Danio rerio: one gene and its partners. The protein of the gene in region 1 interacts with the protein of each later gene in a pairwise test. Links are inferred from orthologs where the notes say so. Each region holds a gene or a part of one and is shown in the gene's direction. Other genes may lie near its edges.

Region 1 (4,087 bases):
TCAAATTAATCAATTTTCTAGTCTCGTCTTGGCAAATAACTGAGAAAACACAAATATTAAAGGTCATGTTTTTATGATGTCATCATTTAGACTTCCTATCAGTATTTTACAGTGTTTTAAAAATACACAACATTAAACATAATATTAACCTATTTTTATAAACCACATCAATTACAAATTACTAAATACTATTTTGTATGTGAAATACGCATTTGAAATACTTGTATCATAAATTCTGGCCATCCCTGATTATCGGGACTATAAAAGTGCATTTATCAAAACAGTTAAAAGATTAGTTCAGGAAAAACTAAAAAATCATGTTGTTTTTTACTCTTATTTGTAACAGTTTATTTTGTTGAACAAAAAATAAGATATTTTGAAAAATGTTGAAAACCGGTAACTATTTCCATACTATTAGTATTCCTGTTATTTACTTCTAACATTCTTTAAATTGTCTTTCAAGGGCTTGGATCAACTTGTGGGTGAGTAAATAGTGATAATAATAATTTATGGGAATAATTTTTGGGTGAACTATCCTTTTAAGCTGAATTTAGCATTATATAGAGTGGAAATTCTACCAGAAACGCACATTATCTGTACCTGAAATAAAACATAAATAGAGTGAATAAAAAAAGTATTTCATCCCAAAATGTCTAAAATGGACCGATGGTTGATTTCTGTGAGTTGTTCTGCAAAGGAGTCAGTGTCATTCATTTAGTTTTCAGATTTTCGTTCTTTATTAAAAACCCTTTACAAACTTACAAACCCTGTTATTGTCCTTTTCCTCAGTCCAACTGAACCTACAGCTTTAATCATTTTGTTATGCAAAAAACAGTGATTTAGAAAAACATATTCTTCAGAAATAGCAAAGTTGAAGTTGTTATCATTTACATCAATTAATTGAAAACATGAAATTATATATAAATTCTACAAATAAATGCTAAACATATAATTTAAATTCATTTACAATTGTCCCTATGTTTTGGTCAGTCACATTTGCATTACATTTTGCGTGCCTTCATATGACTCACTTGATGGAGGAAAGGATGCGCTCTATCATTGAATTGTATGATTTTATGCTTGTTTTGTATGGTTTTTTATTTATTTATTTTTGAGGAAGACAAGCTTAAGTCAGGCCCTGTCAATTTTTTTATAAGTGAAAATGTACGTTTCTTGTAGAATGTGCCAAAGACTGCAGGGGGCGCTGTAGTGCCTCAAACCAACCGGAAATCTCCTGTCATGACAACTGCACGCACAGCTTTGAACTCAACGGCGGGGAGAACGAGCACTTTGCAAAACAATGACTAAAAAATCATCAAAGAATCGGATTCGAGCATTTTACACGTTTATGTAGGACCGCTTGTGTGACTTTCAGTGGTTATCATGGATATGCGGAGATCAGAAAGACTGAACGCGCCGGCGGACTTTATGAAAGCTGCTGAAGCAGGTAAACCAACACAATTAACCGAATAAAAGCCACCATATACCAAATAAACAAACACAAACGACTCAACTAGAGCTCTTAAAAAAAACACTCGCTTATCTTTGTGTATAATATTACTGGTTGTAGTGTTGAAGCACAGTATTAGTCTGATGTCAACTAACGTTAAGGTTGCAAAGATACAAACGTCTAGGATTGACAGCAAGTGTGATAAAGCCGTTTAACATTAATCCAACAGCATTTTGATAATCAGTTATTCAATTATAACATTAATACTTATGATTGTTGTGGTAGTTTACATGTCTCAGTTGATTTCCTAGACTACATTGACTATTTGTACTATGCATGCTGTTCAGCATCTTAAAGTGAAGAGTTCAGATGCAAAAAAGAAATTTTCTCCTAAAATGAGCGTTATTTTGCTTTAAAGGCAATATAAATAACTTTTTGGTCACTATAAAAGTAAAATTTCTGAACCTACACACGAGTTGGAGGAAAATGCGCTAGCAACATTTAACTTAGAGGTTTTGGCATCTAAACTCTTGAAGTGAACTTTAAAAGGATTGTAAAAAAAAAAATAATAAAAATAAATAAATATATATATATATATATATATATATATATATATATATATATATATATATATATATATTTCTGTCATCATTTATTCATTTTCCACTTGCTTCAAACCTGATTGAGTTGCCTATTTCTGTTGAACACAACAGAAGATACGTTGAAGAAAGCTGAAAACCAGTAATCATTCACTGTCATAGTATTTTTTTTTTCTACTATAGAGGCCAATTGTTACAGTTTTCAGCCTTTTTAAAATAACACCTTTAGTGTTCAACAGGAGAAATAAACTTGAAATTGTTTATAATTCAGGGTGAGTAGAAAAAATGTAAATAATTTTTGGAGGGAACTATACCGTTATAAAATCTGAACAGATTAGAAATGATAACAACTTTAAATAAGTTCTGTTGTGTCTTTTTTGGAACTTATTTTTAATAAAGAATGCAACACTGCAAAGCAATGAGTACAATACAATTTTAAATTATTGTTATTATTAATTTGTGGTGTCATGGTGGCACAGTAGGTTAGCCTGATCGCCTCACAGAAAGAAGGTTGCTGGTTCTGTGTGGAATTTGCATGTTCTCCCCGTGTTCACCTGGGTTCCCTCTGGGTGCTTCGGTTTCCCCCACAGTGCAAAGACAGGCGCTATAGGTAAATTGAATAAGCTAAGTTGGCTGTAGTGTACATGTGTGAATGCAAGAGTGTATGAGTGTTTCCCAGTGTTGGGTTGCAGCTGGAAGGGTAAAACATATGCTGGTTAAGTTGGCGGTTTATTCCGCTGTTTCAACCCCTGATTAATAAAAGTACTAAGCCAAAAAGAAAATGAAGAAATTCTTATTTTGCATGTTACTCCAATTTCTAGCTGCCAAAATGGTTGTAAAGACATGTTGAGAACAAAATAAAAAAATAAAATAATAATAATACTAAATTAGGGCTAGTCATTGCAGGATGTATTATGGCTGTGAGAATGGTGCTGTGAAATTGGAAGAACTCAGATACTCCCACTTTTAAGGATTAGATTGAGCTGATGACTTCTACTGTATCATATAAACATACTGTATATTGGCAAGACTCGAGGTCTCCACTCTCCACCTATACTTTTCATCAGAAGTGGGGTAGCTTTTTACGGTATTTAGAGAGCATGTATTAGAAAAATTGAAGGGTTGTCATTTTGGCTGTCTATTGTATAATTTTATATTTAATATTTATGTTTTATGTTATTATTTTATTATATTTTGTTTACATTATTTTCCTGAATGTTGATTTTGTATTGTGAATGTTACGTTGTGTGGGGTATAGACGTTCAAAATAAAAAAGTTAATTGACAAAAAATACAAAAATACAAAAATAAATAAATAAATGAAATTAAATAAAAAAGGGGGACAATTAGATGGATGTTGTAGTAGAGAAAGAAAGGAGTGGCCTTGATCATAACAGTATGGCTCATTATTGAAGAATTAAAGGCATGACAGGAGGCCATCTCTTTAGGAAAATATATATTTTTTAAGTCGCATTGCATATGTGATTTGCTCCATTTCATACAGTTCCCACACTTTTTGAATCCAAGCATTATATGATGGAGGTTCAGAATTTAGCCATATGCATGTGATGCACTTCAAAGCTGCTGCAAGTAGAATTTGTAATAAGTATGTTCTCGATCTGTCATTAAAGCCCTTGGGGCACACACCTTCTGTAGCTCAGCGACTGTGTGATCTTCAGAAAATTGCTTTCATTTTTTTTTTACATTCTTTTTTTTATGTTTTTATTTTTTTTATTAAACATTTTTTATTTTGAACAAAGCCTGAGATCCACAAAATGCTCAAATAAAATAAAGACAATAATACTGTAATAATAGGTACAAAATCATAATTGAAACATATCTCATACAGTCATATTTAACCAAAATTGTACAGTTTTCTTACTGGCATCATTTATTTTATCTGTGGTGTATTCTAAACTAATACAGTCCAGTGCATCAGCTGGAGCAAATGGATACAGCCATATTTTCAGGATGTTTTTTTTTTCAGCATTCAGAACAACTGATAGAATCCTTTGGTTGATGGATAAGGAGAGTGATGA
Region 2 (3,658 bases), on another chromosome or scaffold:
CAGTACCTTTTCAAAAGTTAGAAACTTGTCCCTGAAGCGTTACTTTTTAGGTACAATTGGGTACTAATAAGCCTCATTGAGCTACCACTGTGAAATCTTTGGGTACAAATGTATGAAAGGTACTGCCCCAGTGACAGCTCCTGTACCTTTATTTTTGAGAGTGTATGGATGTACAACACTTGAAATACACAGAATAATTAAATATTTTATAAACAATTTTGTTTTAGAAATGCTTTAAATTACTCTTAATAGTCTGAAACTCCACTTCTTCCACACTTTAGAAATACTGTATTGCAAGTGTAATATAGCATATCCACAAAAAAATGTAAATATGTGTGATGCAGTATCTTAATTTAAAACCACTGTTGACAAGCACAGAGTAAAATAGTGGATTAGAATATTACCACTATGACCATACAATTTGAACAACACACTTTGCTCATTTTTATTCATTATTAAAATTCATAGTTTAGTCAGATTGGCTTCACAAAGAACATCGTGCAACTGTTGTGCTTGTATTTTCTGTTCTAATATTCAGTATTTGTATTTATTAAAAATTGTGCTATCTGAAAAAGCTATTTGTCTACAGGATGTCACTTCTGATCGCTGTCAGGTTACTTCAAATTTTCTCTTGGTTTATTAAGAATGATTACATGTTCAATTCCAGGAATCCGAGCCTCTTTTTATGAAGACCAGGTGGTGGGTTCCACCTCCCTCCCCAATCCCCCGATTCATTCTGTGTGGTCAGTCATTATTGCCAGAGTTTGTGACAGTCAAAACTCATTTAAAAAAATGACATAATCACAAACAATTCCCCATTGTTTTACTTCATCAATCCATGAAACTTGTACTGACGGTAAACACAGAGAACTGAAAAGGTGGCAACCCAAATAAAAGTGTCTCCAGCATTAATATTGGGCAAAAAATAATTGAGTGAGTGGTAATTCATTGTTGCTTCATTAATTGAGCCATCATGTTCTGTGCTCCTGTTGATGCTTGGCTTGACAGTCATTGTAAGACATGTCAAACTAATGACCAAAGACAATAGATTTTGATTAACCTGTCTCAAATGAAAAAATCATGGCTAGAATCATCAAGTGTCCACTTGGCTTGCATAATGACCACACCTGACAACTGTGGTATGACTCAACTCAATAACAGTCAATAAATTCTATTATAATGAGATATTTGGTCTACATTACAGGTGATACAACATACAAAAATCTTCAACTATAAACTGATGCCAACCTATAGCTTTCAGATTCAATCCTATTCTAATCCATGAAGGATACATTGATTTTAATTGTTCTCTGTCAAATCCAGTGAAAACAGTTTTCAGCAGCTGGAAAAAGAGTATTAGTGTGTCACAAAGCTGAACAGAATTCAAGTCAAGTCAAGCTTTATTGTCATTCTGCTACATGTGTGGACATACAGAGGAACAAAATGTTGTGTCTCGCTGGACCACAGTGCTACATAAAAGGATCATAAATACAAAAACAACAATGGACATAAGAGACACTTTGCAGCAAAGTTTAGATCCAATCCTAATTAAACTTGCCTGACCCAGTTAATCAAGTTTCCACTCTCACCAAGGCCTATGCAATAGGCATGTTGCAAACTTTAGCCCAAACAGCATTATCACTAATATTAACACTGCGACCTTCGTGGTAGACAAAGTAATGTCCGTCAAAGTAATGTAAAATCAGATCTGGATCTGGAGTCTTCTCTATTAGTATAGCTTATTAGTCATGTGGATGGATGATAACAGCCTTCTGAGCCTACCAGTAGTCATAGAAGGCCCCCCATAGCTATCAGCTGATAACCACGCCAAAGCCATGTCACCCTGCAGCCCAAGCGGTTACTCACTGAAGCTAAGCAGGGATGAGCCTGGTCAGTACCCAGATGGAGGACCACATGGAAAAAGCGGGTTGCTGTTGAAAGGGGTGTTAGTGAGGTCAGCAGGGGGCGCTCAACCTGTAGTCTGTGTGAGTCACAATGCCCCAGTAAAAGTGAAGGGGACACTATACTGTCAGTGGGTGTCGTCTTTCAGATGAGACAATAAAACGAGGTCCTGACTCTCTGTGATCATTAAAAATCCCATGGCACTTCTCGTAAATCGTAGGGGTGTAACCTCTGTGTCCTGGCCAAATTTCCTCTCGGTCTTTACCATCATGGCCTCCCAATCATCCCCAGCCACTAAATTAGCTCTATCACTGTCTATCCACTCCACCAATAGCTAGTGTGTGGTGAGCGCTTTGGCGCCATTGTCCTGTGGCTGCCGTTGCATCATCCAAGTGGATGCTGTACACTGGTGATGGTTTGGAGAGACCCTCCTCATGCTTGTGAAGCGCTTTAGGTATATGGCCATATACGACAAATGTGCTATATAAATACACACATTACATTTATATTACACAGATAAAGTCCATTCAATCACATGATAACATTCAAAGAGGGTGAATTAGCTCATCAGAACATTAGAAGATTCCAAAACCTGAAATTAATGGGTCAGAAAAGTTGATTGGACATCTTGTGTACCTCCAGGAACAGGGTTGGGAAACACTGCAATAAGACATTATATGATTGCCCAAGGTCCCTCACATGATCCAAGTTAGCCATTATCTTTTTTTTTTTTTTCAAAAGTTAAGGAATACAGACTTTTCTCTCTCAGTAGTACGACAATCTCTGGTCCCTCTAGAAACGTTTATGTAAGTGTAGGAATGAAATCAGAGACCATTATATATTCCCTAATATACCTCCAAGTCGGCATTTACACTTTGTTTGGTGATAAGTAATAAAAACTCTTATCTCCCAAAAGTAAAGCAATCTCTGGCCTTACTAGAAACTTCTAGTCAGTTGTGTAGAAGCAGGATGATGAAGCTCAATTTGCAGGAGAGATGTATTCCATAAGCAGGATTGTATACTCCTGGTGTAAATTCTGTGTTAAGACACTAAAAAGAGCCAAGATACCTATAGCATGATGCCCCAGTATCCATTAACAGTGTTGTTCATCTGTTTCCCCTTCAGGTACGCTCTTGGTGTGGCCTATAAGTCAGCACCCAAAAACGAGTGGAGTGGTAAAAACTCATCATCTTGGGTTTTCTCACGCTGCAACAATAACTTCTTGGTGCGGCACAACAACAAGGAGTCCATTGTGGAAGCGTCACTACAGCTGCGCAGGGTGGGAGTTCTTCTGGACTACGACAACAACACTCTGTCCTTCTATGATGCCATGAACTCCCAGCACATATACACTTTTGACGTTTCCTTCCTGCTTCCGGTGGCTCCCACCTTCATGATCTGGAACAAGTCATTGATGATCATGTCAGGGCTGCCGGTGCCTGACTTTGTGGACTGCAGCGAGCAGCAAGAGGGCATCTGCCGCCAACAGGAGTCACCCTATGTTTCTGGAATAAAGAGCTGCCACTAAGGCACCCAAGGAGCTGATTATTCCAGAAGGTTCCCTTGCTCTTCTTCTTTTCCTAGTGTTCAGATCTTGGGTGAAGTTGGAGCTTTAGTTGATTACATAAATGAGCGGTTTGTGCGTGTATTATGAGCTCTCCGATTTTAACAGCTGATTTGGGGGAAGTTAAATTGTAAATTATTTAAGACTTAACGTCAGTTTGCTTTTTTTGTCAGTTCTAATGTATCCCTAAAA
Region 3 (3,658 bases), on another chromosome or scaffold:
ACGATTATGAAAAACCATTAATCGAGATAAATGATTATTGCATCATAAACCACCCCCTTTCCAGTTGTACACGTGTTGCTCTTAAAAACGCTAAAGACCACATGATTCTGGTGCACACACACAGTCACAACAGAAGCATGCGGTCAGCATTCTGTCTTACTCACACACTGAGACGAGCAGAGCGTCACATCTAGATTAATCTTAACGTGAGCGCTTTACTGGTCAAATAGGTGTCAAAATGCAGTGTTTGGTGATTATTCATATTAACCTCAATAAACAAACGAGTTGAGAATCAAAAGACACGCGAAAGAGAAACCATTAAAGTTACATTGCGCGATAATCCTTCTTCCGTCTGTTTTTATGATTATTAATCAAGCAATAAACGGAGAACATGCCTCTCTGCTCTTGACTGAAGGACTGCTGCAGCTAAAGTGTTTTTCTGACAGTTAAGATGCCCAAAGCACAGTTTGTTTAATATTTTTATTCTATTGTATTTATTTCTCTTTCCTTTGCAGGGAGGAAAATAACTGTATATATGCAGTTGAAGTCAAGTCAAAATTATTAGCCCTCCAGAATATTAGCAGCCCTTTTCTCAACAATTTCTGTTTAATGGACAGAAGATTTCTGAACATAATAGTTTTAATAACTCATTTCTAATAACTGATTTCTTTTATCTTTGCTATGATGACAGCACATAATATTTGACTAGAAATTTTTCAAAATACAAGCATTCAGATTCAAAGTGCGATTTAAAGGCTTAATTAGTGTAATTAGACAGGTCATTTTATAACAGCAGTTTCTTCTGCAATCAAAAAATATATTGCTATAGGGGGCTAATATTATAGACTTTAAAATGGGTTTCAAAATTTTTAAACCTCCTTTTATTCCAGCCAAAATAATAAAAGCCTTTCTCCAGAAGAAAAAATATTAGAGGAAATAGTGTTAAAATTCCTTGCTCTGTTAAACATCATTTTGGAAATATTTATTTAAAAAAATACCAAGGAGCGCTAATAATTCTTTACTTTAACAGTAATCGTTTTGAATAATCGTGATTACAATTATGACCAAAATAATCGTGATTATGATTTTTCCCAAAATCGAGCAGCCCTAGTGGTAATTATAGATCTGCATTATTGATGGCGTTTACTTTGTGCACTTTTAGACAGAGATTATTTGAAAAGAAAATATCACTTGAACTTTTCTGAAGACACCGGCATTCCCTTTCTGTATATAGGATTTTCTTTTTATGCTGAGCTTTTGCAGGTGCATTATTTTTTTTATAACTCCAATATATACTTCTGCATATGATTTAACGTGGTTGGTCCTGCATAGTCACACATACCCTTTGCATTTACCCTGATGTAACTAAACATCACAGATACATGAAGCACAAGATTTCTGATTGGTCGGCATTGGAAGCCGTGAAGAGAGTAGAGCAGGCCTAAGAGTTGTGGGAGCTAGGCCAGTGGCGTGAGTGTTAACAAGTGTCGAGTCCTCCAGTGGAGCTCTTGATGGATATGTTTGCTTTGTGACTGTGAGATTGAGCTACTTCCAGAGTAGCATCGCACGTATTCTGGCGCAAACCCTACTGTCTACAAGTGTTCGAGAAGTGTTATTGTCAGAGCAACAAAAAAGAATGCATTAATGCAAGTAACAAGTAACATGTATTAATGCTCACAAAAGCGTTGTCTACATGTTAGCGTTGGCAATAGTATGGACTGTGGGGTACAGTAATCACTTGATGCAGAAGTATACATGAGGCATGCAATTAAGCAACATGGGCTCATTCTGAAAACGTGGTCCTATATAGGTTTCTGGAGATTACGAATTATGTAGCCAGAAGTACGTAAGGCTGCATTTTGTCTTTAAAGCGAATGCTATGGGGTGGTATGATGCTGTTCCTTTTCACGCTTACCAGCTGACTGCTTACCTCCATATGGACGGTTTTCCTGTAGTTACCAGTTTGTCCATTTAGCTCACCAACCATGTACGTCTGATAATGATGATTGGGTTTGAGTCTGTCGAAGAACGGTTCCAGAAAGCAGGTAAGAAAAAAACAGAGGCAAAAAATAAACAAGTAAACAGAGTGAAAATGTGATAAAATCTCAAAACGTGGTAAAAATCAGGCAAGGGCTTTTCTGCATTGCTTTTTTAAACTGTCGGTTGGGTTTAGGGAAGTGGATGGGCGGGCCAATCAGTATTTTTGAAAATACTATTGGTTGGGTTTGAGGAATGAGGAGGGTGGGTCAGTCAGTGAGTCATTCAGTCAGTGAGTTGACAGCGACCTCTGGTGGATTCACGTGAGAACAGCAGGCATGAATGGCACCCGTGAGAGATAGTTGAGATCTCAAAAGACATACACAGCAGCCCCTGGTGAATTCGTGAAAACAAAAATTGCAAAAAAACGTAGCTCTTGGGACTTATTTGTCGCTCTCCTGAAATGTATGTAGAAATTGGATATGTTTTCACAATGAGCCTGGGTTAAAATTAAGTCTTGTGAAAACTGTACACATAAACTATGAAAATAACTGGCAAATAAAACTCTGAAACAAAATTGTACAATCTATAAATTTAATGTTGAAAGCCTAATAGAATTGCACAAGTTTGAAATAAACAAAGTTCAATATTTATTATATTTGTTCAATTGAATGCAGACTAGAGTAAAGATCTGTTGAGTAAAGCAATTAAATGGCTGATTGTCGATCTTTAGGAACAATGTCGACCAGAAATCTATAGGCTTGTCTGCAGTGTCTTTGAGGGAGCGAGGGAACCCTGGATGTTCAGGTTATTGCACACCTTGTGTAATGTTTGCATTCTTTTTTTTCATCCCTGTTCTACAGGCTCAGACGGGGACCTCGCCACACTCATCGCCCAGCCACAGTGCCAGCTGCACCATGCCTATGCCCATCCGCTCCACCTCGGCCGGCTCAACCCCCACACACACGCCGCAGGACTGTCTGGCAGGGGTTGGAGACGACGTGCTGGATGCCTTCTCTCAGGGTGAGCAGGATGAAGCTCTGCATTGACAAACATCATTAGCCACACAATTGGAGACATGGTAAATAATATTAGGAGACATTAAGGAGACACACTGAAGATGTTAACGAGACATTTAGGGAATGTTAGAACATAATAAAAGTACTTTAGGAGATTTTAAGAAGGTGTTTAGGAGGTGTTTAGGAGATAATTAGAAATGTAGGTGGTGGTTTTGATATATTTAGAAAAAAATAAAAGTATATAATTAAGTTAGGGGATGTTTAGAAGGTTTATAGAGAAGAAATAAAGAACATTTAAGAGATTTTCAAAAGATGTTTAGAGGATGTTGGGGTAGATTATTAAAAAAATGTTCAGGGGATGTTTGTTAAGTTTAGAAGGTTACTGGGAATTGTTTAGAATATGTTTAAAATAGAGATGTTTAAAATGGCAGATTTTTTAAACTTTTATACAACACAGGCTCATTGTGAAAACGTTCCCCTATATACATTTCTGGAGAGTGCGAATTGTGTAGCCAGAGCTATATATAGCTGTGTTTCGTCTTTAAAACAAACGCTACGAGGTGGTGTGATGCTGCTGATAGCTTCTGTTTTTTTTTCTCACACTAATTTAATCGCTTAGCTTTGTGGACGGCATTTCCTCTGTCACTAGTTTGCCATGTACC

The links. The genes of interacting proteins can lie anywhere in the genome.
Region 2: the proteins of si:dkeyp-20g2.1 (region 1) and mid2 interact in binary tests that used the Homo sapiens proteins (3 or more experiments, as listed by UniProt). The link is inferred for Danio rerio from reciprocal best matches to the Homo sapiens genes CCHCR1 and MID2.
Region 3: the proteins of si:dkeyp-20g2.1 (region 1) and dtnbb interact in binary tests that used the Homo sapiens proteins (3 or more experiments, as listed by UniProt). The link is inferred for Danio rerio from reciprocal best matches to the Homo sapiens genes CCHCR1 and DTNB.

Annotation. Positions count from the first base shown.
Region 1 is NC_133180.1:24,161,981-24,166,067, reverse strand, and holds the start of si:dkeyp-20g2.1 (coiled-coil alpha-helical rod protein 1), read left to right. Parts: upstream 1-1,216; 5' UTR 1,217-1,383; coding exon 1,384-1,447; intron 1,448-4,087. UniProt on the Homo sapiens protein: May be a regulator of keratinocyte proliferation or differentiation.
Region 2 is NC_133189.1:32,705,088-32,708,745, forward strand, and holds part of mid2 (probable E3 ubiquitin-protein ligase MID2), read left to right. Parts: intron 1-3,027; coding exon 3,028-3,430; 3' UTR 3,431-3,658. UniProt on the Homo sapiens protein: E3 ubiquitin ligase that plays a role in microtubule stabilization. Mediates the 'Lys-48'-linked polyubiquitination of LRRK2 to drive its localization to microtubules and its proteasomal degradation in neurons.
Region 3 is NC_133192.1:38,942,150-38,945,807, reverse strand, and holds part of dtnbb (dystrobrevin, beta b), read left to right. Parts: intron 1-2,840; coding exon 2,841-3,000; intron 3,001-3,658.